Linked DNA regions of Callithrix jacchus. The protein of the gene in region 3 purifies or fractionates together with the protein of the main gene of each other region. This does not show direct contact. Links are inferred from orthologs where the notes say so. Each region holds a gene or a part of one and is shown on either strand. Other genes may lie near its edges.

The links.
Region 1: the proteins of DNAAF10 (region 3) and POLR3E purify together in Homo sapiens (affinity purification with mass spectrometry; 3 studies listed by BioGRID and IntAct, with this or other methods). This does not show direct contact. The link is inferred for Callithrix jacchus from reciprocal best matches to the Homo sapiens genes DNAAF10 and POLR3E.
Region 2: the proteins of DNAAF10 (region 3) and CCT2 purify together in Homo sapiens (affinity purification with mass spectrometry; 3 studies listed by BioGRID and IntAct, with this or other methods). This does not show direct contact. The link is inferred for Callithrix jacchus from reciprocal best matches to the Homo sapiens genes DNAAF10 and CCT2.
Region 4: the proteins of DNAAF10 (region 3) and POLR2J purify together in Homo sapiens (affinity purification with mass spectrometry; 3 studies listed by BioGRID and IntAct, with this or other methods). This does not show direct contact. The link is inferred for Callithrix jacchus from reciprocal best matches to the Homo sapiens genes DNAAF10 and POLR2J.

The regions. Positions count from the first base shown.
Region 1 is NC_133513.1:22,887,769-22,893,615, reverse strand, and holds the start of POLR3E (DNA-directed RNA polymerase III subunit RPC5), read right to left. Parts: upstream 3,821-5,847; 5' UTR 3,705-3,820; intron 1-3,704. UniProt on the Homo sapiens protein: DNA-dependent RNA polymerase catalyzes the transcription of DNA into RNA using the four ribonucleoside triphosphates as substrates.
Region 2 is NC_133510.1:72,133,743-72,139,612, forward strand, and holds the start of CCT2 (T-complex protein 1 subunit beta), read left to right. Parts: upstream 1-2,183; 5' UTR 2,184-2,263; coding exon 2,264-2,266; intron 2,267-2,575; exon of another isoform or gene 2,576-2,703; intron 2,704-2,958; coding exon 2,959-3,033; intron 3,034-3,732; coding exon 3,733-3,798; intron 3,799-4,502; coding exon 4,503-4,614; intron 4,615-4,925; coding exon 4,926-5,002; intron 5,003-5,131; coding exon 5,132-5,244; intron 5,245-5,870. UniProt on the Homo sapiens protein: Component of the chaperonin-containing T-complex (TRiC), a molecular chaperone complex that assists the folding of actin, tubulin and other proteins upon ATP hydrolysis.
Region 3 is NC_133515.1:45,713,007-45,719,099, forward strand, and holds the start of DNAAF10 (dynein axonemal assembly factor 10), read left to right. Parts: upstream 1-2,418; coding exon 2,419-2,601; intron 2,602-6,093. Other genes in the region: RNA-binding protein PNO1, read right to left, coding at 1,347-1,496, 1,724-1,918. UniProt on the Homo sapiens protein: Key assembly factor specifically required for the stability of axonemal dynein heavy chains in cytoplasm.
Region 4 is NC_133503.1:11,371,464-11,377,360, forward strand, and holds the start of POLR2J (DNA-directed RNA polymerase II subunit RPB11-a), read left to right. Parts: upstream 1-2,193; 5' UTR 2,194-2,265; coding exon 2,266-2,318; intron 2,319-4,928; coding exon 4,929-5,018; intron 5,019-5,897. UniProt on the Homo sapiens protein: Core component of RNA polymerase II (Pol II), a DNA-dependent RNA polymerase which synthesizes mRNA precursors and many functional non-coding RNAs using the four ribonucleoside triphosphates as substrates.

The DNA.
Region 1 (5,847 bases), on a different chromosome or scaffold from region 3:
AACTTAGGAGAAACAGGCTATCCAAACAGTCCCAGAGATGGAGGATGGAATGAAAATCAGAAGTTGCATCTTGTCAGTTTCAAGTGCCTGCTGCTGTGCAGACAGAGGGCAGTGTGGAGGGAGAGCCCAAGGCCCTACCCTTCTGCATCGGCTGCCGAGTGCCAGACATGTCAAGCTCCTGCCTTCTCTGCAGCTGGGCAGTGGACAACCGAGAGGCTAGAGTGCCAGGTGAGCAAGGGGACGATCATAACCACTAAGAGGGTGTGGCCTGGGAGGTTCCCGAGACCCAACAGTTCTTTCTCAGCAACTGTTATGCCCCGTTGGCCTCTGCCCTGCCAGGGATCAGGAAGGATGAGGTGCCCTGTCTGCTGGAAAGCTGGAGCTCCTCCCTCTGGAAAGTGCATCTGAGCTGATGCAAAGAGTGTCACCTCCCTTCATCCTCCAGGCTGAGGTGATCCAACTCAGTGGCTTTCAAAGTTTTCAGCCTAAGACCCACCACAGTAAGAAATTCATCTTAGCCAGGCGCAGTGGCTCAAGCCTGTAATCCCAGAACTTTGGGAGGCTGAGGTGGGTGGATCTCGAGGTCAGGAGTTCGAGACAAGCCTGATCAACATGGTGAAACCCCATCTCTACTAAAAATAAAAAATTAGCTGGGCGTGGTAATCCCAGCTACTCAGGAACATGAGGCAGGAGAATCGCTTGAACCTGGGAGGCAGAGATTGCAGTAAGCTGAGATCCTGCCACTCCACTCCAGCATGGGTGACAGAGCAAGACTGTGTCTCAAAAAAAAAGAAAGAAAAAGAAATTCATCTCATATAAATGGTCCAGTACATACAATTGCATAACTGAAACAAGTTTTCACATAACCATAACTGTCCCTACTATATGTCAGACAGTGATGTTTTCTACTTCATTCAAAACAAAAAAAATGCTAGCTTCAATTCCCCTAAATTGATTTTATTTCCCACTAATAAATCTCAATCTGCAATGTGAAAAGCACTCATCCGAGGCTCCCTACGGCTCCTTATTCCTACTTCCGTCTCCCGGCAACAGCCAGAGTCCTCGTAAAGAAGTTAATCAGGCTGGCGTGGTGGCTCATACTGGTAATCCCAACACTTTAGAAGGCTTAGGTGGAAGGACCACTTGAGACCAGCAGTTCAAGACCAGCCTGAGCAACATAGTGAGACCCTGATCTCTATTACACACACACACACACACACACAGACAAAATAGCCCAGCATGGCCTATAGTCCCAACTTCTTGGGCTGAGGCAGCAGGCTTGCTTGAACCCAGGAGTTTGAGGCTGCAGTAAGCTATGATCACAAGACCTTCCCTCTATTGGGTGAAAAAAAAAAAAAAAAAAAAAGAGCCAGGTGCGGTGGCTGACTGTAATCTCAGCACTTTGGGAGTCCAAGGCAGGCAGATCTCCTGAGGTCAGGAGTTCAAGACCAGCCTGACCAGTAAGGTGAAACCCTGTGTCTACTAAAAATACAGAAATTAGCCAGGTGTGGTGGCTCACACCAGTAATCCCAGCTACTCGGGAGGTTGAGGCAGGAGAATTGCTTGAACCAGGAGGCGGAGGCTGCAATGAGCCAAGATCTTGCCACTGCACTCCAGCCTGGGCAAGAGAGAGCAAGACTTTGTCTTTAAAAAAAAAAAAAAATATATATATATATATATATATATATATATATATATATATGAGGCTGAGCAGAAGAATTACTTGAACCTGGGAGGTGGAGGGAGCTGATATCATGCCACTGCACTCTAGCCTGGTGCTTGGCGACAGAGCGAGACTCTGTCTCAAAAAAAAAAAAAAAAAACAATTTATATATATCTCGTATTATTTCCCTGCTTAAAACCTGTCAACCATCATTGTCATATAAATAAAACCCAAACTCCTTTCCATAAGCCACTCTAAGGCCCTGCATGATTTTGTCTCGATCTTCCCCTCACCATCTTTTTGGCCTGGTAGCCAGTTGCAGGGCTTCCAAGAAGCCAAGTCCCAGTTCACCCCAAGGTCCTCTGCACATCATCTATTCCCCACAGGGCTTTCCAAGGTTGCTCCTTTTTATTAAATAGCATCATCACCGTCTGCAGCTGAGGATAGGCTCCCTGACTCCTCTATTTTAAGAGCCTTCTCCAACCTCCTCCTAGGCACTACACCACATCTCTGTTTGCTTTCCTCAGTGGTTCTCATCTTAATCTGAAACTACCTGGTCTATTTGCTCAGGTGTTGTCTGTCTTCTGCAACAGAATGTAAGCTCCATGAAGGCTTCTCAGCGCGTCAGTTTCCTCTACTAAATGCAGAGATAATTATACTTTATTTCATCAAAGCTGTTATGGAGATCATTACTTAAAAAATCCACTGCTGTTCTCTCAATATCTAGAACACTGCCTGGCACAAAGTTGACACTCAATATAGTACAAAGAATACTTTATATTTAATCTTCTCATTGGCACTATCAACAGAGATTTATCATCAATTTAGAAATGAGGAGACAGGTTCAGAGATGAGTACGTTTTCCAAGGTGGAATCAAGACAGTAACTCGGGTCTCGCTGATGTCAAAGATCCTTATTCTTATTAACCATTACACTGCACAGCTCTTCAATAAAAGGCAGTATGGTTAAGTGGGTAAGAGCCTGGACTCGAGACCAAAACTGTGCAGGTTCAAATCCCACCACTGCTGCTTCATATCTGTGGCCCACCTGAGTTGTCTACGCTTGGTATCCCTCCCTATTTTCATCCCTGAAGTAGGGAAACTAAATACCGACCTCCAGACGGCTGGGGAAGGGAGGAACAGGGGAGTAAGGACCCAACCTATGGGAAGGTTTGTTACTACTTGACAACATGTTTTCTTCCAATATAAGAGGGTAATGACACTAAGCAACAAGTCAAGCGCTGCAAGCAAGAGCGTCACCTGCTTTCTACTGAGCCGTCACCACAACCCCATGAGATAGGAATTTCTATTATTCCCATTTCACAGATGAGCAAACTGTGGCGATCGATACGATCTCTTCTTTCTGTCCCCAAGCTCAAGGAATTCTAAAGGTAACCCAAAGGAATGACCTTGTTTGTTTACTGACACCTCCTCGGACCGACCGGTCAGGGCCGTATCCTAAGCACAGAGTTGGTTCAGTAAACACTGAATGGTTGCCTGAATAAATGAATGAGGAATCTCGGGCCTCTCCGGGCAGAGGATGATCCGGTTCAGCTGCAAAGAGGGGAGCTCCGGCAAGCGCAGGTGCCGTCCCTGCCCATCCCGGCTGGCCGCCGACCCCGAGCCACGCCGTCCAATGGGTTTCTGCTCCCTCACGGGTGGTCAGGCCCCCTTCTCACGCCCACCACGAAGTTCCTGCCGCGAGCAGCTACCACACCCGACGCCAGACAGGTGTTCCTTCCATAGGAGGCCGCTCCGGCCCGGGTGGGGCAGATCGGCTGGACCCTGAGTCACCGCCGGCAGCATCGGCCGCGGCCTCCCCAACACCCAAGTGTAGGGCCAGGGAGGTCGGTGTCCGGGGTTGGCCTGGTCGACCTAGAGCCGGCTGTCCGTCCTCCCCACCCGCGTCCCAAGAGGCCCCCAGTCCCTACGCACAGCGCGGCGCGGGCCTCCTTGGCCTACTCGGGAATCTAGCCCAGGCCCACATACTGAGTGCTGTCCGGCTCAAGCCCCAGCTAGGGCGCTGCCAAGTCGGGACTCACCTCTCCGCGGGGGCCGCGCGGACGGCGGCAAGAGCCCAGGAACCCGCGGGCTGCAGAGGCGGCGGCGGCCCGGCTCTCCTCTCAGGCAGCGGCCATGTTGCTGGTGGAGAAACTCTGGCGGACACGTGGGGGGAGCAGGCCGGCCCCAGCGCTTCCTCTTACCCACAATGCCCCGCCCCGGGGCACGGAGCTCCGCCCCTCCGCCGCGCCATTTATGGAGGCCATGCCCCGCCCTGCAGCAGGGGGCGCTGATGGCGTGCTCAAAACGGAGATGGCAGTGTGTGCAGCGGAGACAAAAACAATCCACCTTGGCAGCGGTGGGATTCGAACCCACGCCCCCGAAGAGACTGGAGCCTTAATCCAGCGCCTTAGACCGCTCGGCCACGCTACCTAGCTGCGAATTATTTCTTCTAGAGAGTTACTTAATGCGTTTTCTAGAATTTATTCTCGAAATTGAAAGGCATTTTCGCTGAGGTTTTTGTTTTTTTTTTTTTTACTTAACATGTGTTCTGATTCCTATAGAATTATTTTCAAAAGTCATGTATTCGAAAATAAGTACTTACTCCAATCTTTAGACCCAGGTTTGTTCCAAATAGGTTTTACAGCAAAAAGCATTTTTAGAAACTCTATTATATTCTGAGTTGGATGGTTAACCGGGGACCTGGTTAACCCACAAATAATCCACACGACCCTGATTGGGTGTCTCCGGGAGAAGAAATTGATTCGATCAGAAACACGCATCAGAGGATCTACGGCCAAACCCGGGAGCTGGTCTGGGCAGTTATCTCTGAAAAATTATGTTTAAATTTTTACTTACACAACACGCGAATTAATGCAAAATATTTAAACTTTGCAGATGAGGTACAAATCATGTGTTGGAAATTCAGTCCCCAATGTGGCAGTACTGTATGGTGGGCCCTTTAAGGGGCGATTAGATGACGAGGGTGGAGCCTTCATGAATGGATTAATCTATTCATGGATTCATGTATTAACGGGTTAATGGATTAATGGGTTATCTTGGGAGGGGGACTAATGGCTTTATAAGTAGACACCTGAGCTAGCAAGTGAGCAGCTCAGCCCCCTTTCCATATGATGCCTTGTACTGCCTGGTGACTCTGCAGGGGTACCCCACCAGCAAGCAGGCTCTCACCAGCTACATCCTGTTGACCTTGGACTTATCAGCCTCCATAATTGTAAGAAATAACTTCCTTTTATTTACAAATTACCCAGTTTCAGGTATCCTGTTATAAGCAACAGAAAATGGACTAAAACACTATATATATATTTCTAGATCTTTTGCTGTGAATTTATACGGATATATAGAGATATCATAGAATATAGCTTTGTTTTTATTGTGTATGGATTTTAACAAAAATATTGTCACATTATTCGTACAGATCTGCAAGTGGCTGGTCTTTTTTTTTCCACAAGACTGTATTTAAAAATACCTATCCATGGCTGGACGTGGTGGCTCAAGCCTGTAGTCCCAACAGTTTGGGAGGCCAACACGGGTGGATCACCTGAGGTCAGGAGTTAAGCCTGGCCAACAGGGAGAAAGACCATCTCTACTGAAAATACAAAATTAGCCAGGCGTGGTGGCACATGCCTGTAATACAAACTACTCCAGAGGCCGAGGCAGGAGAATCCGCCGAGCCGGGGGGCAGGGGTTGCCGTGAGCCGAGATCGCGCCATTGCCCTCCAGCCTGGGCGACAAGAGCGAAACTCTGTCTCAAAAAATAAAACAAAAACCTATCTATGTGCATATACACAGATATTAAAAACAAAAATGCAGCCAGGTGTGGTGGCTCATGCCTGTAAGCTCAGCACTTTGGGAAACTGAGGCGGGCAGATCATGAGGTCCAGGGTTTGAGACCAGCCTGGTCAACAGCAAAACTGTCTCTACTAAAAATACAAAAAAAAAAAGAAAAAAAAAGAAAAATCACTCATAGTGCCACCACCTGGCATTAAATTAATGACTTAGTATTGTGGCAATTTTTTTCTTTTCTTTTTTTTAGACAGAGTCTTGCTCTTGTTGTCCAGGCTGGAGTACAGTGGTGTGATCTCCGCTCACTGCAACCTCCTTCTTGAGGGTTCAAGCGATTCTTCTGCCTCAGTCTCCCGCGTAGCTAGCTGGGATTACAGG
Region 2 (5,870 bases), on a different chromosome or scaffold from region 3:
CCATGGAGAAAGGACACATTTCCAGGGTCCTATTATAGGATCTCTTCCTGGCTGCCTCTAGCCTCAGTTCCGCAAAGTGGCAGGGCCTGCCTCCTTCTCCTCACCCAAATGCCTCTGGCTACATTACAGCCCAGCAGGGAGCAGTAGTTGGTTTCCCCATCACACACAGTCTCAGACTTGCCTACCAGAGGACATAATAAACATCTTCAGGTATGTAATTTTGCCCACAATAAAAACAACCTTTTTCAATATTGTGCAGGCATCTTAGTTTTTCATTGTGAATCTTCTTATTCCAGAATGTGATTTGGGATTTGCCTAGTAAAGTACATTTCCTGAAAGAAGACCAACTTTTCCTACAAAGAACAGAAAACTCTTAGGAGATTTAAAATAACAATTTGTCCAGCCCGAATCCCCCTTTTCACGTTGGACCTGAGGAATACCGTAAACCAGGGTCGGCAAACTTTTTCTGTAAAAAAATCAAATAATAAATGTTTCAGGCTTTGTGGGCCCATACAACTTGTCATGACTACTCAACTCTGCCATTGTGTAACTCTGCTATTGTACTGTGATGGTAAATATGAATGGGTATGCACATGAATTCCAACGAAGCTTTATGGACCCTGAAATATTAATTTCACAGAATCTTCATGTGTCAGGAAATTGTTTATTTCTCTCAACCACTTAAAAATGTAAAAACTGTTCTTAGGCCTGGCACGGTGGCCCACGCCTGCAATCCCAGCACTTTGGGAGGCCGAGGTGGGTGGATCACGAGGTCAGGAGTTCAAGAGCAGCCTGGCCAAGATGTTGAAACCCCGTCTCTACTAAAAATACAAAAATGAGCTGGGCGCAGTGGCACGTGCCTGTAATCCCAGCTACTCAGGAAGCTGAGGCAAGAGAATTGCTTGAACGTGGGAGGCGGAGGTTGCAGTGAGCCGAGATCACATCATTGCACTCTAGCTTGGGTGACAGAGTGAGACTCTGTCTCAAAAAACAAAAACAAAAACAAAAAAACTGTTCTTAGCTCTCACGCCATAGAAAAACAGTTGGCAGGCTGGGTTTGACTCCTCATAGCTTGCCAACCCCTGGTGGAAATCAATCCTCTAGAGGATATCTGAAGGGTAGAAACAACTAAAAATGGAAAATTCCTGATAATGTTAGCACTGTCAAAAATTCAGGAGACCCCAGCTACTCAGGAGACCGAGGCAGGAAGACTGCTGGAGCCCAGGAATTCCAGGCCAGCCTGGGCAACATGGCAGACCCCATCGCTTAAAAAAACAAAACAAAACAAAACAAAACAGGAAAAGAAAAATCCAGGAGCTTGTTAAGTGATCAGTTAGTCAAAGGGTGAAAAGCGGGTATCACCAGATGACAGAAAACAAATTTTTCTAGAGAACTAATTTTGCTTTAGACATCCGTCAACTTAGAGAAAGTAGAAAACTGTCTCTAATAAACTGAAATATTTGGGACTGATCTCGATCTCTGCCAAAACACTCACATGGTTTGGCAGAGATCGAGATCAGTCCCAAATATTTCAGTTTATTATAAACAAAGACTAATAAGTCGTCTCTACTATTAGAGGAAAAAAAAAAAAACAGACTGAAATGCAAAAATTCCTGAAAATGAGTAAATAAGGCAAAGATAAAATACTACAAATGTCTCTTGTCAGTTCACAAGACCTTATCCTGGGCAGTCAACGTCCAATTAGAAATAACGTTTGAAAATTTAATAAGAGAAAATGAAGTCTCCTTCTGTAATACACAGTAAATAATGTTTAAAATTAAAATAGCAATAATATTATCTGGTAATATGATGGTAAATAGCCCCTCCCAAAAACTGAAAAAGTTGAAAGCAATGGTATATAACATTTCAAACTGTGTACATATGTGACTTTAATACAAATGTTTCAAGATTAAATTTAAGAAAATAAAAATTAAAAGTGTGAGCAAGAACTCCATTGCTATGACAATCCGCGCAGCGGCCACCTCTTTGTTCTTAGGTTGTTCTTCTCTCAACCCGCCCCTTCCTCCTCCTCCTCGAGCGGTGGCCACGCCCCCTCTAGTGCGAAAGGCTGCGTTTCCGGCTCGTGGGTCTCGAATCAAAATGAGACACCGGCGGGCGGAAACGGCTGGTCGGCGGGGCGCGCAGGCTGAGGCTCCGCCCTCGACAGCAGGGCGTGTGACGTCACTTCCGGCTTCTGCCTGTCTGTCGGCCCCCGAGCACGAGTTGTGAAGGGATCTACTTGTGTGCAGAATCCCTCGGAACCATGGTGAGCCTGGCCCTCAGCCTCTTGCCCTGCTCCTGCCCCGCCGTGCCTTTGCCACCCCATTGCTCCCTCTGTCCTGCTAGCGTCATAGGCTCCATTCCTGTCTCCCGGGCCCGCCGCGCATGGTACGGGCCTTGGGGCCTGCGGCCTGTGCCAGGCCAGCCGCTGGAGCCCACTACGAGGGGGAGGGGTGGCCACAAGACCAGCGTCTCCTTCTGCCCAGACCGGGTTTCCATAGTCCCGGGAACCCAGGCCCACGCCTCACCCCAAGCGAAGAAATTTCTAGTGCGGGTCCTGCTCCGCCCTCCTCCTAGGGGCGGAGCCACCCGAAGGTGGAAGATGGAGGCCGCCGCGTTCACTCGCCCGCCGGGCGGCTGTACCCTTGATGATCTGCGACCCCTCCGTGCCTCATTCTTTGTTCCAGATCGTCTTTAGTCTCGGTATACGTAACTGTCAATGTCGCTGGTGTATAGTTAATACTCCTGGGGCCATTGTAAATCTGAAAAGCCTTTTGTCGCTTTCCTTCAAGTCCTTTCCTGCACTTAAATGCCTTCTCCGATGATGGAAGCTTTATTTGTTTGAAAACATTATTCTAAATGAATTTTCGGGTAGATTCCATTTGTAAGACTAGTGGAAGGCACCTCAGTATAGAGTATTGGTTCTTAAACAGAATGCCTCTTGGTTTTCCTTTTTAGGCGTCCCTTTCCCTTACACCTGTTAACATCTTCAAGGCAGGAGCTGATGAAGAGAGAGCAGAGACAGCTCGTCTGGTAAGCCTTGTTCTAACTATTGTTTTAAAGATAAAACTGGAGGCCAGGCGCAGTGGCTCACTGCTGTAATCCCTGTACTTTGGGAGGCCGAGGTGGGCAGATGAACTGAGGTTAGGAGTTCGAGACCAGCCTGGCCAATATGGCAAAACCCTGTTTCTTTTAAAAATATAAAATTAGCCGGGCGCGGTGGCTCACGCCTGTAATTCCAACACTTTGGGAGGCCAAGGTGGGCGGATCAGGAGGTCAGGAGTTCGAGACCAGCCCACGGTGAAACCCCGTCCCTACTAAAAATACAAAAATTAACTGGGCGTGGTGGAGTGCGCCTGTAATCCCAGCTACTCAGGAGGCTGAGTCAGGAGAATCACTTGAACCGGAAGGTAGAGGTTGCAGTGAGCAAAGATCGCACCACTGCACTCCAGCCTGGGTGACGGAGTGAGAGACAGTCTTTAAAAAAAAAAATACGAAAATTAGTCGGCGTGGTGGTGGGCATCTGTAATCCCAGCTACTCGGGAGGCTGAGGCAGGAGAATCTCTTAGACCCAGGAGGCTCAGGTTGCAGTGAGCTGGGATCTTGCCATTGCACTCCAACCTGGGTGACAGAGCAAGACTCTGCCTCAAAAATAAAGTAAATAAAGATGAAACTATTTTTCTCTTAAGACTGTAAAGGTGATTCTGATAATCTCCTTGGTTTTTACTCTAGTCTTCTTTTATTGGTGCCATCGCTATTGGAGACTTGGTAAAGAGCACCTTGGGACCCAAAGGCATGGTAAGAAAAATAGAAAACTTTTATGTTTTAATATTGTTTTAGAGCCTTTAGTGGAAATATATTAATAACAAACATTTTTATATGCTTTTTAATCTTTAAAATATTTAATTATAACAGTAAGACAAATGTATTATCCTTAGTAAAAATCAAACTAGCGAGTATCACCATCCCCAATCCATGCCCCTCCCCAATGACAAGTACTGTTATTTGCATCTACAACTTCTAATACTCTGTTTGCTTTTATAGAAGTATGTGTACTTTATTATGTATTTTCTTAGATATTCTCATGTAACAGATACTGTTTTATAAAACAGAGGTACTATTTACAAATACTTTTTTGTAGCTTGCTCTTTTAAATTGTTTTCAGGGTAAGTAAATAATACAGTCTCCTCTTTAACAAATAGTATTTTGCACCTTAATTATTTTATAATTCAATTATGGCTGTATTGATAGTTTTTTTTCATGGTTTTTGCAGTTACAGTGCTGAAACAAACGCTAGTGTCTCCCTGTGCTTCTAGTGTTTCTAGGGGTAGATACCACGGTTTTGTTACATGGTGTATGTATTGAAAACATTTGATGGATGGATACCACAAAATGGCCATCCAGAGTGTTTATACGCTAGCATTGTATGAGAATACCGATTGATGCATGCATTCTTCAAGATGTAATTATATCTTAACTTGAACCAATTATGTATCCTTTAGGACAAAATTCTTCTAAGCAGTGGACGAGATGCCTCTCTTATGGTAACCAATGATGGTGCCACTATTCTAAAAAACATTGGTGTTGACAATCCAGCAGCTAAAGTTTTAGTTGGTAAGTCTGAATATACTTTTTCACCAACCTAATAATATTGTTTGTTAATATTTTGAAATAACTTTTCAAATAAGCTGTGTTGACCAGCTGTACTGTCAATCAATTGATGTCCATTACTTTTTAATTATCATCATTAAAATACAAGCTGCAGGAGTGCCATAGTGGTAAAAGTGTTGCATTTTAGACCTCAGAGTTCTAAAGAATTTGTTGGATGAGGAAGCTTGATAAATATGTTTAGATTGGAAGTGAATATTTTGAAGAATTTAGTGCTAAGAAGCAATTTTGAGTTAATAACTAATTTCTTTTTCTAGACATGTCAAGGGTTCAAGATGATGAAGTTGGTGATGGCACTACCTCTGTTACCGTTTTAGCAGCAGAATTATTAAGGGTAAGAACAACTGAGCAACTCTGTTTTCCTACTGTGTTTTTGAATATCAGATAATCAAGTCCTTATTTCATCTTTACTATTGAGTGCTTAATACTTTTTCATTTATAACTTTTATAACTTTATTAATAGGAAGCAGAATCTTTAATTGCAAAAAAGATTCATCCACAGACCATCATAGCGGGTTGGAGAGAAGCCACAAAGGCAGCAAGAGAGGCTCTGTTGAGTTCTGCAGTCGATCATGGGTTGGTATACCAGAGTATTACTGTTTTAAATATTTAGTGTTCTTTCATAACATGCTCAGTGCAAGAAATCTAGAGGATACTGAAAAGCATACACAAAGATCATCTTGCTACGTCACCCCACTCCACAGTCAAACCTAGGTCAGCCTCCAGAGATGACCACTAAAGTTTGGGTTTTTAGTCTTTTTGTATCTCTAATCAAAATATGCAAATAAAGCCAACAGTATAATACTGTGTAGAGGATTTATTAGCTTCTTTTTAACCTAATTAAATACTAAGCACATTTTTGGATGTCAGTTTTCTATGCAGTATTTTAATAGTGTTACCCATTTGAGTATGTGGCTAGAATGACTATATTTACTTAACCCATTTCTAGGGGGAGATTTGTGTATTCAGCGATTTTTAGCTTTATAATAACAATGTTATAAAGAACATAGCCCACAAGTTTCTAAAGTGTAATTGTTGGGTCCAGAGGTAGTTGTGTGTGTTTTAAGACAAGGTTCCCTACCCCCAAACCTGGGCTGCATGGCAGGTGAAAAAATTGTCTTCCATAAAACCAGTCTCTGGTGCCAAAAAGACCGGGGACCACTGTTTTAAGGCACTTTCACATAGGTTATAAAATAAGCCTC
Region 3 (6,093 bases):
AACATGGTAAAACCCGGTCTCCACTAAAAATACAAAAATTAGCCACGTGTGGTGGTGGGCGCCTGTTATCACTAAGCCAAGATCTTGCCACTGCACTCCAACCTGGTCGAAAGAGCGAAATAAAATATGTATATATGTGTGTATGTGTGTGTGTGTATATAGTGTATGTGTATGATCATGTGTGTGTATATTTACATTTTTGATATCTATATTTATATATAAAAAATATATATATACACATTTTAAATTTCATGCTGTCAATCAACCAAAATTATATTTTCATTTTTAAGGATTCTGATACCATCATCAGGACTGGTATAGTATGATCATACATATATGTATAATCGTGTGTATGTATGTGTATGTGTGTGTATTATATATATACACACACATATGTATCATACACACACACACACACACACATATGATCATACACATATATACAAATAACCGGTGGCTTTTTTTTTTGAGACAGGGTCTCACTCTGTCAACCAGCCTGGAGTGCTGTGGTATAAACACACACACACACACACACACAATGTATATGTGTGTATATATATTATATATGTGTATACATATATACACACGTATATGTATATACACATATATGTACACACATGTATATATACACACACATAAGTACATGTTTCTTATCAAAATGACACATTTTAAAATCAAGAGTACCATTAAAATACAGTCATGCACTGCATAATGACATTTTGGTCAATGACCAACTGCTCACACCATGGTGGTCTCATTGCAGTATAATGAAGACTATACAGAAACCTGTTATATGTCACTGGATACTGGCAATGCAGATCAAGTAGGTGAAATGACTGAATCTCAGTAATTGTACTGGGACATGTGGTTTTCCATATTAAAAAATATGTAAACAAATACACCACCTATGTTTGTGTTAAGGACACTCTATAATGTTTGCACTAGGACTAAGTCATCTAACAAAACGTATCTCAGAACATATCCCTGATGCTGACTGTATATACTTCTTACAAAGCAGCAAGTACTTATGTTCATTGTTTACTTACTTCTATTTATGACAATCTCTTTACTCGACCTTTTCTCAATTTGATATTGAACATTATAAAAGATATACAGAAGCCGAACCAGTATTTTGGTATGATCTCAGAACTTACAAATCCAACTAATATTTGTATCAAATGCAGATTTTGAAGGCATTTGGGAAGTTCAAACTCAATATAGTAAATTTTTAAACTGGACAAAAACCATTTAACAGAATACGTCCCCTTAAGTAAAGTCTATTCAAGCCTTTTCATCTCTAGGAGAGAAAGCGTGGTGTATTGGGAAATGGCTGAGATTTTCCTTACCCTGATTTCTACATTCCTTGATTTCAAGTTAAAGCGTATCTGAAGTCCCAAATGTTCCACAATAGGAGTAAATATCTTCATCCAGTTTTCTTTTAATGGTGTGTATCTGTTAGCTGGGACCGGAATTTTCCTTGTTTCTTCTTTCCCACTCTGTAATAAAAGAACACACAACTCAGGAAACTATGGAGGGATGGTGATGGAGTTGTAAAATGACATCTGATCCACAAAGGGCTTCCTTTAACTGAACTAGTTACACTTCAAAGAATCACTTCTTTCAGCAAAACAGCCCCCCGCAGCTTCAACATAGCCCAGAGGCCACCGGCTTGATTGGCCTCTGGCCATTGCCTCGTTGCTATCCCACGGTCCCAGCCACATACCAGGAGCCCGTCACCACAGAGGGGCGGGAAGACTGGCCTCTTCGCCGGCCTGGCCTCTTCTGTGTCCATAAGGCCCGCATCCCCGCCCTCTCCCGCTGCGGACAGCTGTTCAGCCTGCCGTTTTTTCGCCCGCCGGCCACCCTTGCGGGTGACCTGGGTAAAGCCGTCCTCTGCCCCGGCGCTCTGTGCTTCCATTTCGGATTCCAACCCTGGGATTCTTAAAGCACTTCCGGCTGAAACACGTGCGCTGCTCCACAGCGCAGGAGCCAGCCTCTGCCAACCACCCCCGCAGCTCCGCCCCTATCCTAAAACGCCACAGGCCGGGGACCTGCAGAATTTGGGGGCGGGGTGGAAAGGGCATGTAGGCTGTCCTAAGATATGCCTGATGCTCATCGTCTCACTCCAGTCACGCCACTCACAGCACAAGTATTTTGTAATCTCTAATATGTATGTGTGCTAAAGACAGTGGGTAAAGGCGATAAACAAATTCGTTTTGTTGTGAAGGAACATTCTATGCGATCGCAGGAGCGTATCTGGCATTATCCGGAGATAACCACAGCCAACTTTCTAGGGCATCTGGGGCAGAGTACGGAAAGCAGGAGGGTCAAATTGCCCATGTTTGGAGTCTGGTTTCCAGGTTGGTGTTTTGGGGGGCTCTGGGTGTGGCGGTTGCCGGAGCTGAAATCGGCTGGACCATGTCGGCCTTCGAGAAGCCTCAGATCATCGCCCATATCCAGAAGGGCTTCAACTACACGGTGTTTGACTGTAAGTGGGTGCCCTGCAGCGCCAAATTTGTGACCATGGGCAACTTCGCACGGGGCACCGGCGTCATTCAGCTGTACGAGATCCAGCACGGGGACCTGAAGCTGCTTCGGGAGGTGGGTGCCGGGTCAAGCATCTGGACTGCCGTTGGGAGCGCGTGCAGATCCTGGGATCTGCATTTCTCTTTGCCAGAGTCTTCGTGCAGCATCCCCCCAAAGCATAGCTTGAGCCGCGCAAGACCAGAGAAGCTGACCGCCGACTGAGGAATGTTTCCTACTTAAAATGTTTATGCTCATCCGCGGGCTAGTTCCTCCGTGTCCAACCCTCCTGTCACTCCCAGTGCAGTCCGGCCAAAGCGGGCACCAGTATGCCTGCAGTATAGTTGGAAGAGGCAACCTAACACATTCGACAGGTATCAGTTGAGTGCCTGGTATTCCCAGGCATGTCAGTGGCAATGTCCCCGATCTCATGGAGTTTATTTTCTAGTGGGAGAGATACTCAGTTCGGTAATCAAAGCAACGATACGTAAATACAAACTGAGATGACTTGTCTCACACAAAGTAACATGATAACGGCTCTCTGAGAGTGAAAACAGATTTGGGATGAGTAAAAACTGATTTTGGTATGTGCATAAACTAGGCCGAACGAGGAGTAAAGGACAAGGTTTCCAGAGCTTCTGCATATGCAGAAGCTCAGTGATGGGAGGAAGTTTATCTCCTTAAGAAACTAGAGGGGTAAGCAGGAAGCAGACATTACAAGAGCTGTAGGACATTGAAAGGATTTATGCCTTTTTTCTAAGAAAAATGGAAAACCATTGAAAGGATTTAAGCAGGGTGTGGCAAAATTAGGTTTACACGTTGATTACTAGCGAAAGAATTAAAGAATAATAATCACTAGCATTTTATAGCTGTTTATAGTTTTTAAAAACTCTTAATTTAGGTTACCTAAAAGAAGAAAAAAGATCAGTCATAATCAGATCAGGGTTGTAATAGACTACTAGCGCAGGGAAGGTTAAGAACTCTGGGGATCAAAATTTATGGAGAGAATCGGCTTGGAGGAGGTAGGGACTACACTGGTAGCTAAAGGATGAATACAGTTGTTTGGACTGGTAAGTCTGGAATAGAAAGTATGTAAGACCCCATCCCACTTGAAATTTCCCTGAATAACAAACATGAAACATGGCCTATTCCTTTTTACCTTTCCTTAGCGTCCAGTAACCTGTGGCTTTTTTTTTTTTTTTTTTTTTTGACAGGGTCTCACTCTGTCACCCAGCCTGGAGTGCTGTGGTGAAAACACAGCTCACTGTGACCTCCACCTCCCTGGCTCAAGGGATCCTCCCACCTCAGCCTCCAGAGTAGCTGGGATACAGGTGTGTGCCACCACACCTAGCTAATTTTTTTGTACTTTTTTTTTTTTGGTAGAGATGGGGTTTCACCATGTTGCCCAGGCTGGTGTCCACCTCCTGGGCTCAAGCAGTCTGCCCGCCTCGGCCTCTCAAAATGCTGGGATTACAAGAGTGAACCACCGCACCCGGCCACCTGTTGCTATTCTAATGTTCAGTTCAGATTATCTAATGTATGATGTCCTTCCTGATTTCTACACAAAGTAAAATTTCTTTATATCGCATTTGGGGTTCTTTTTGTTTTTTATTGTTGTTTTCTTTTTTTTAGAGATGGCGTAGTTCTGTCACTCAGTCTGGACTGCAGTCGTATTGTCATACCTCACTGTAGCCTAGAACTCCTGGGCTCAAACCATCCTACTGCCTCTGCCTCCCAAAGTGCAGGATAAGGTGTGAGCTACCATTAAAAAGAAAAGGCATTTAAAGGATTTTCATTTTTTATTTTTTTTGAGACGGAGTCTGGCTCTGTTGCCCGAGCTGGAGTGCAATGGCGCGACCTTGGCTCATTGCATCCTCCGCCTCCCAGGTTCAAACTAGTCTGCCTCAGTCACCCTAGTAACTGGGTTTACATGTGCTTGCCACCGTGCCCAGCTAATTTTTTTGTATTTTTAGTAGAGATGGGGTTTCACCATGTTGGTCGGGCTGGTCTCATACACCTGACCTCAGGTGATCCACCCGCTTCAGCCTCCCAGAGTGCTGGGATTACAGACTTGAGCCACTGCATCTGGCCATTTATTCCTTTTTCAAAGAAAATGGGACATGATTGAAATTTTTCTTTTCTTTTTTTTTGTTTTTGAGATAGGTTCTCACTCTTGCCTAGGATGGAGTACAGTGGCAGGATCAGGGCTCAGACTTGTGACTTTTTAAAATAAGAATAGGCCTGGTGCAGTGGCTACACCTGTAATCCCAACACTTTGGGAGGCAGAGGGGTGGATTGCTTGAGCCCAGGAGTTAAAGACCAGCCTGGGCTACAAGATGAAACCTCATCTTTACTTTTTGTATAAAATAATACAAAAATTAGCTGGGCATAGTGACATGTGCCTGTAGTCCCAGCTACTTAGGAGGCTGTGGTGGGAGGATGTCTTGAACCCAGAAGGTCAAGGCTGTAGTGAGCCATGATTGCACCACTGCACTTCAGCCTGGGTGACAGAGAAAGACCCTGCCTCAAAAAATAATAAAATAAGAATATATGATTTGTACGCATTTCAAAAGTACGCTTACTCCTTTAGGTGGAGTAGAGTGCTTTGTCTTTTGTAGAAACGCTAGGGAATTTCAGCAAATTTTAAAAAGATAATTTTCTTTTGTAGCAAAAGTAATATGTATTTGTGATAGAACATTTAGAAAATATGACAGGAAAATGAAGAAAATATCACTCATAATCTCAATGCCAGGAATAACCACTAAGTGTATTTTCACCTGGATCCTTTGGGTCTTCTTTTTTTTCTACCATGAATAATCTGAGAACACACTATTTCAAGGTACTGTGTTTAACAAGAACCAAAGATGTTTAAAAGTTGAGTCCTTTCTCTTAAAGAGCCAACCGTCCAAAAAGAGGATAAAACTAATGCAAGAATACCTTTAAGAACTTACGTTGTTTTTGGCTGCTCTGGTGAAATGGAAAATAATATAGGTTAAATACTGGTCCAGTAACTCCCACTCTTTACTGGGCATCAGGATCATATGAGTGCATTTTGTGCCGTGTGTGTGTGTGTGTGTGTGTGTGTGTGTTTTAAAACATTTGTGCCTTGGTCCTACCGCTAGAAATTCTGACACAGTGGTACATATTTGTTGCATCTAGAGTAAAGTTTAGAAATTAGAATTTTTTTAAAACTTTTCCAAGGTGATTCTAATGAGTCTCAAGGCTGAGAATTATTGAGCTAGATGGGTCATTTATGAAAATATTAGGAAACAGACTTGATTTATCATTACAGAACTACCCTTAAGTCACATGCTCCAAAGCTCACGCGTCTTTGTTCTTTTTTTTTTTTTAAACTTATCACTGACTTGGAGCTCACAAAGCCTGTGCATCCAAGAAAAAAAATGTAAGGGAAGCATATCAGTCTTTGTTGAAGTCTTTATCTTAGTTCTGAAAGGATAGACAGGGAATGGAGGGCAGGGCCTCCATGTATAGTTGAGCAATTTTTTGCACCATACAAAGGTGTCTGTCTGGCTGAGTGAGCAAATGTGAACTAAAAGCTCTTTTTCCTTC
Region 4 (5,897 bases), on a different chromosome or scaffold from region 3:
TGCCACCCAGACTGGAGTGCAGTGGTGCAATCATAGCTCACTGCAGCCTCGACGTCCTGGGCTCAAGAGATCCTATTGCTTCAGCCTTCTAAGTAAACAGAACTACAGGCACATACTACTATGCGCAGCTGATTTTTAAAATTTGTAGTAGAGACAAGATCTCGCTCTATTGCCCAGGCTAGTGTCAAACTCCTGGGCTCAAGCAATCCTCCCTCCTCAGCCTCCCAAAGAGCTAGGACTGCAGATATGAGCCACTGTGCCTGGCCAGTAAGCATTTTAAGAGAAGCAACCCAGACAAAGATTGTGATGTTAGATACGAACCAGTTAATGAAGTTTTCTTTTCTATGGGATAGAAACTGCAAGTTAATAAGTAACTTCAGTGTCTGGGCTGTAATCAAACAAGCAGGAAAGTCAACACAGCCACAATCCCTGAGATTAGGATCAGCAAACGTTTTCTGTAAAGGACCAGGCATGCAGCTCTGAGTCACAACCACTCTGCCACGTAGCACAAAAGCAACTACAGCCAACGTGTAACAAATCAGCATGGCGTGTGTGGCTGGGGTGGAGCTCATGCCTATAATCCCAGCACTTTGGGAGGCCAAGGTGAGAAGATCACTTGAGGCCAGGGGTTTGAGACCAGCTTGGGCAACAAAGTTGGACCCCCCCCCCCCCATCTCTACAAAAAGTAAAAAAAAAATAAATAAATAACTGGGTGCTGTGGTGTCTGCCTGTGGTCTTAGCTATTGGGGAGGCTGAGGCAGGAGGACTTGACCTCGTGGGAGGCCTGCCTCAGCCTCCCACCGTGGTGGGATTGAGCCCAGGAGCTTGAGGCTGTAGTGAGCTATGATGTCGACACTGCACTGCAGCCTGGGCGACAGAGCTGGTGTCACACCACTGCACTCCAGCCTGGGTGACAGAGCTGGTATCACACCACTGCACTCCAGCCTGGGCGACAGAGCTGGTATCACACCACTGCACTCCAGCCTGGGCGACAGAGCTGATATCACACCACTGCACTCCAGCCTGGGCGACAGAGCTGATATCACACCACTGCACTCCAGCCTGAAGACAGAGCTGATATCACACCACTGCACTCCAGCCTGGGCGACAGAGCTGGTATCACACCACTGCACTCCAGCCTGGGCGACAGAGCTGATATCACACCACTGCACTCCAGCCTGGGCGACAGAGTAAGACTCCGTCTCAAGGAGGGCCTTTATGCTAAACTGTAGTCTGCAAAACAGCCAAACCAAAAGGTAAGATAGACTTATCCACCAAGTGCAGTGGCTCAATCTTAGCCCTTTGGGAGGCTGAGATGAGAGAATTGCTGGAAGCCAGGAGTTCAAGACCAGCCTGGGCAACACAGCAAGACCCCAACTCTTAAAAGAAAACTAGCTAGGTGTGATGGCACGTGCCTGCAAGTCCTAGCTACTTGAAAGGCTGAAGTGGATCTCCGGAGCCCGGGAGTTGGAGGCTGCATTGAGCTATGATGGCACCACTGCACTCCAGCCTGGGCGACAGAGTGAGCCACTGTCTCTAAATGATAATAATATATAAAAAGATTTACATAACCCTCCGAGCTCCCTCTCACTGCTGTATACACCCGCCTCCTTCCCCATCCGTCACCCAACTGTCCCTCCCTTCTAACAAGCCAGTGGCATCCCAGCCAGGGGTCTCACAGCAGTCGGTGTAGGCAGCCTCGGCAGGGGGCTTAGCACAGATCTGCCTCTGGCCACGAGACCTTCCTCAGCTCCCCTCACGGCTGCCAGCCGCAGCTGCCCATTCCCCTTAGCTCTATTCTCTCTATTCAGGGGCCTCCTGCTGTGCACTCCAAGGGGGTGCACGGTTGCAAAGCGAGATCAAGGGTCGTGGGGAGCAGAGAGGCACAGCTTGGGGTTTCCACTCAGTCAGGATTAGGAGATCTCTGGAGGGGCAGAGCAGCCCTCCCGGCGCTCTGAGCATGCGCCAAAAAGCGCCCACGTTGAAAGCCACGAGGGGGTGAGGGGGTGGGAGTTGGGGGGGTGGGGCTTCCATACTGACGCAGGCGCAGAGGTACTGGCCTCGCTCGGGCTTTTCTCGCTCCTGCGCAAGATCCTCCAGCCCAATAGGGGGCGATGAGCTGGTCCCTACGCTAGTTTGACCCGCCAGAGTAATCCGGAAGAAGCCTCTTACTAGGGCTTCGGAGGCGGCGGCAGCGGACGCTTAGGGTCTGGACGCGGCAGTGGTGGCGGCGGCGGCGGCGGCGGCGGCGGCGGCGGCAGGAGTATGAACGCCCCTCCAGCCTTCGAGTCGTTCTTGCTCTTCGAAGGCGAGAAGAAGTAAGTGACGCCAGCTGGGAGGAGCCGAGGTTTGCGGGGCTGCGACTGTCGCATTCCGGGGGCGTTTCCTGCCCATGTCTTGCTCCGGGAGGGAAGCAGCTTTTGCCTGATAGTCCGCACGGCCTGTGTCGGCCAAATTTAAGCCAGTTCCGGGAGGCAGTGGCGAGTGTGTCCATTTGGCAGATGAGGACACTGAGGCTCGGAGGAGCAAGTTGCCCCAGACACGGAGGAGGTGGCGGGGCTTGTATTCGAACCCAGAGTGTCTGGCTCTCCATAGCCCTCTTCCTCTGGGACGTGGCAGCCTCCTCTCTTGTCTTCCGCCCGCCGCCTCCATCCCCCGTGTCCTTTGATTTGCCAACGGCCTGTGTAAAAGCCGCAGTGGCTTCTTGCTGCCTGCTGGTTGAAGGAGTCCCCGGGAGAGACAGCTTGGGCTTGGCCCCTGGGTCCCCCACTTAGCGACTGTATCTGTACGAGTGCCGTGATCTTTTGGAGGCCCTGTTTCCTTTTCTGGAAAATGGATTTGTTACTTTTCATTTTTTTCGAAACGGAGTTTTGCTCCTGTTGCCCAGGCTGGAGTGCAATGGCGCGATTTCGGCTCACTGCAACCTCCACCTCCCAGGTGCAAGCAATTCTCCTGCCTCAGCTTCCTGAGTAGCTGGAATTACAAGCATGCGCCACCACGCCCGGCTAATTTCTTATTTTTGGTAGAGACGCGGTTTCTCTATATTAGCCTGTGTGGTCTCGAACTCCCAATCTCAGCTGATGCTCCTGCCTCGGCCTCCCAGAGTGCAGGCATTACAGGCGTGAGTGACGGCCTCCGGTCTATTACTGTTCTTAAACATGGGATTTGGCCAGGTGCGCTGGCTCACGCGTTTAATCCCATCACTTTGGGAGGCTGGCTTGAGCACAGGAGTTGCAGGCTCCAGTGAGCTGTGATCGCATCACTGCACTCCAGCCTGGGCGACAGAGTGAGATCTTGTCTCAAAAAGAATTGGATGAGGTAATTTGTGTCAAGCACTTGGTCTAAAGCTCGGCACCTGGAAGACCTCATAACCACTGGCTCTTACTGTTCCCAGGTTGGCGTGCAGAGGTCTTGGTCTGGCCCTTGCCGGCCAGTTTGGCCTTTTTTTTTTTTTTTGGACAGTCTCACTCTGTCCACCCAGGCTGGAGTGCAATGGTGTGATCTCACGGCAACCTCCACCTCCATGTCCCAGGTTCAAGTGATTTTCCTGCCTCAGCCTCCTGAATAGCTGGGATTACAGGCATGCACCATCACATCCGGCTAATTGTGTGTTTTTAGTAGAGACCGGGTTTCTCCATGTTGGTCAGGCTGGTCTCAAACTCCCAACCTCAGGTGATCTGCCCGTCTCTGCCTCCCAAAGTGCTGGGATTACAGGTGTGAGCCAGTGCACCGGGCTTGGCCTCATTTTAGAGCAGACTCTCAGCTGGGGACCATTTGGCAATAATTGGGGACATTTATGGTGTCAAAGGGGGTTATGACTGGAATCTACTGGATAGAGGTCAGGGTGCTGCTGCTGTCCAGCAAGATAGCACCCCACAGGAAAGAATCATGCAGCCTAAAACGTCTGTGGTGTCAACATGGAGAAACTACCTTAGAAAAAAGGGGCAGTCAGGCACAGTGGCTCACGCCTGTAATCCCAGCACTTTGGGAGGCTCAGGCAGTTGGATCACGAGGTCAGGCGTTCAAGACCAGCCTGGCCAACATGGTGAAATCCCGTCTCTGCTAAAAATGCAAAAAAAAAAAAAAAAAAGCCGAGCATGGTGGCACACGCCTGTAACCCCAGCTGCTCAGGAGGCTGAGGCAGAATTACTTGAACTGGGGAGGCAGAGGTTGAAGTGAGTCGAGATTGTGCCACTACACTCCAGCCTGGGCAACAGAGCAAGACTCCATCTCAAAAGAAAAAAAGGAGCAGGCTAGGCATGGTGGCATGCGCCTGTGGTCCCAGCTACTCAGGAGGCTAAGGCTGGAGGCTACAGTGAGCTGTGATCACACCACTGCACTCCAGCCTGGGCAGCAGGAGGGATCACTTGAGGCAAGTTCAAGACCAACCAGGACGACAAAGCAAAACCTCATCTCTTCTAAAAGAGAGGGAGAGGAAAGACAAGAGGAGGAACTCCGAGAAGGGCCAAGGTTCCACAGACCTGGGGTAGGGAATCAGGCTGGAGAGGTCTTTATGGGAGGAAGAGATTGAGAAAGGTCTTCAGGAGGAGGCAGAGCTTTTCATTTTTATTTTTTTGAGACAGTCTTGCTCTGTTGCCTAGGCTGGAGTGCAGTGGCGCAATCTTGGCTCACTTCAACCTCCTCCCAGGTTCAAGTGATTCTCCTGCCTCAGCCTCCCAAGTAGCTGAGAACACAAGCATGGACCACCACACCCAGTTTGGGTTTTATTTTTAGTAGACAAAGTTTCACCATGTTGGCCAGGCTGGTCTGGAACTCCTGACTTCAGGTCATCCATCTACCTCAGCCTCCCAAAGGGTGGGGATTACAGACATGAACCACTGCACCTGGTCCGAAGGAGGCAGGGTTTAGACTTGGGGTGGGCGGAGGGGAGCCCCTGTCCCTCATCTGTGGCCTCTGTGTCTTCCTAGGATCACCATTAACAAGGACACCAAGGTACCCAATGCCTGTTTGTTCACCATCAACAAAGAAGACCACACACTGGGAAACATCATTAAATCGTAAGTTTCCCGTCAAAGGCTCTCAGGGGCTATGTTTAATAGGCGCCTCTGGGCAAAACAGAAGTTTTAAGATTTTCCTCCATCTCTCAGCTACAGGAAGTCCTTCTGGGGGCTTGCTCTGGGCATTTGGTAATGTTGGTACTTTATCAAAATGACGCTGACCTTCATGTCTTCACATAAGCTACGCTTCTGTAGTGGCTTATTCTGTAGACAAACGTGCATTTACTTTTTTTTTTTTTTGGGAGTTTTTGCTCGTTGCCCAGGCTAGAGTGCAGTGGCGCAATTTTGGCTCACTGCAACTTCTGCCTCCCAGATTCAAGCGATTCTCCTGCTGGGACTGGCCACCATGACCTGCTAATTTTTGTGTTCTCAGTAGAGGCGGGGTTTCACTATGTTGGCTAGACTGGTCTTGAACTCCTGACCTCAGGTGATTCACCTGCCTTGGCTTCTCAAAGTACTGGGATTACAGGCATGAGCCACGCACCCAGCCTTCCATTCACTGTTAAGTGCACGTTCTGTGAGTGAGTGAGAGCAGGTTCCAGCAGAGTAGGCCTGTGTGTTCATGGGCTGAGGGGCACTGAGCAGCAGTCAAGATTAGCTCCCCCAATGCCACCCCTATTTGTGACCTCAGTGCCACCTGGCACGCTTAAGATGTATGTGGCAGAGATGAGAACTTGTGTTTAACAAGGGAAAGAGGTAGGGGAGTTCTGTGGTTGTCCAGTGCCAGACAGGTGCCTGGCCTTGGTTCATGGGTGTTCCTTTACACCACTGAAGTCCTAGCTAGGTGGTTGATTAGGAATGTGACTGTCATTTCACTTGTAGACTTGGCTCTTCCCTCTGGTGCCATCAGTGAAGCCAGGCTTTTCCCAGGCTGTGAGA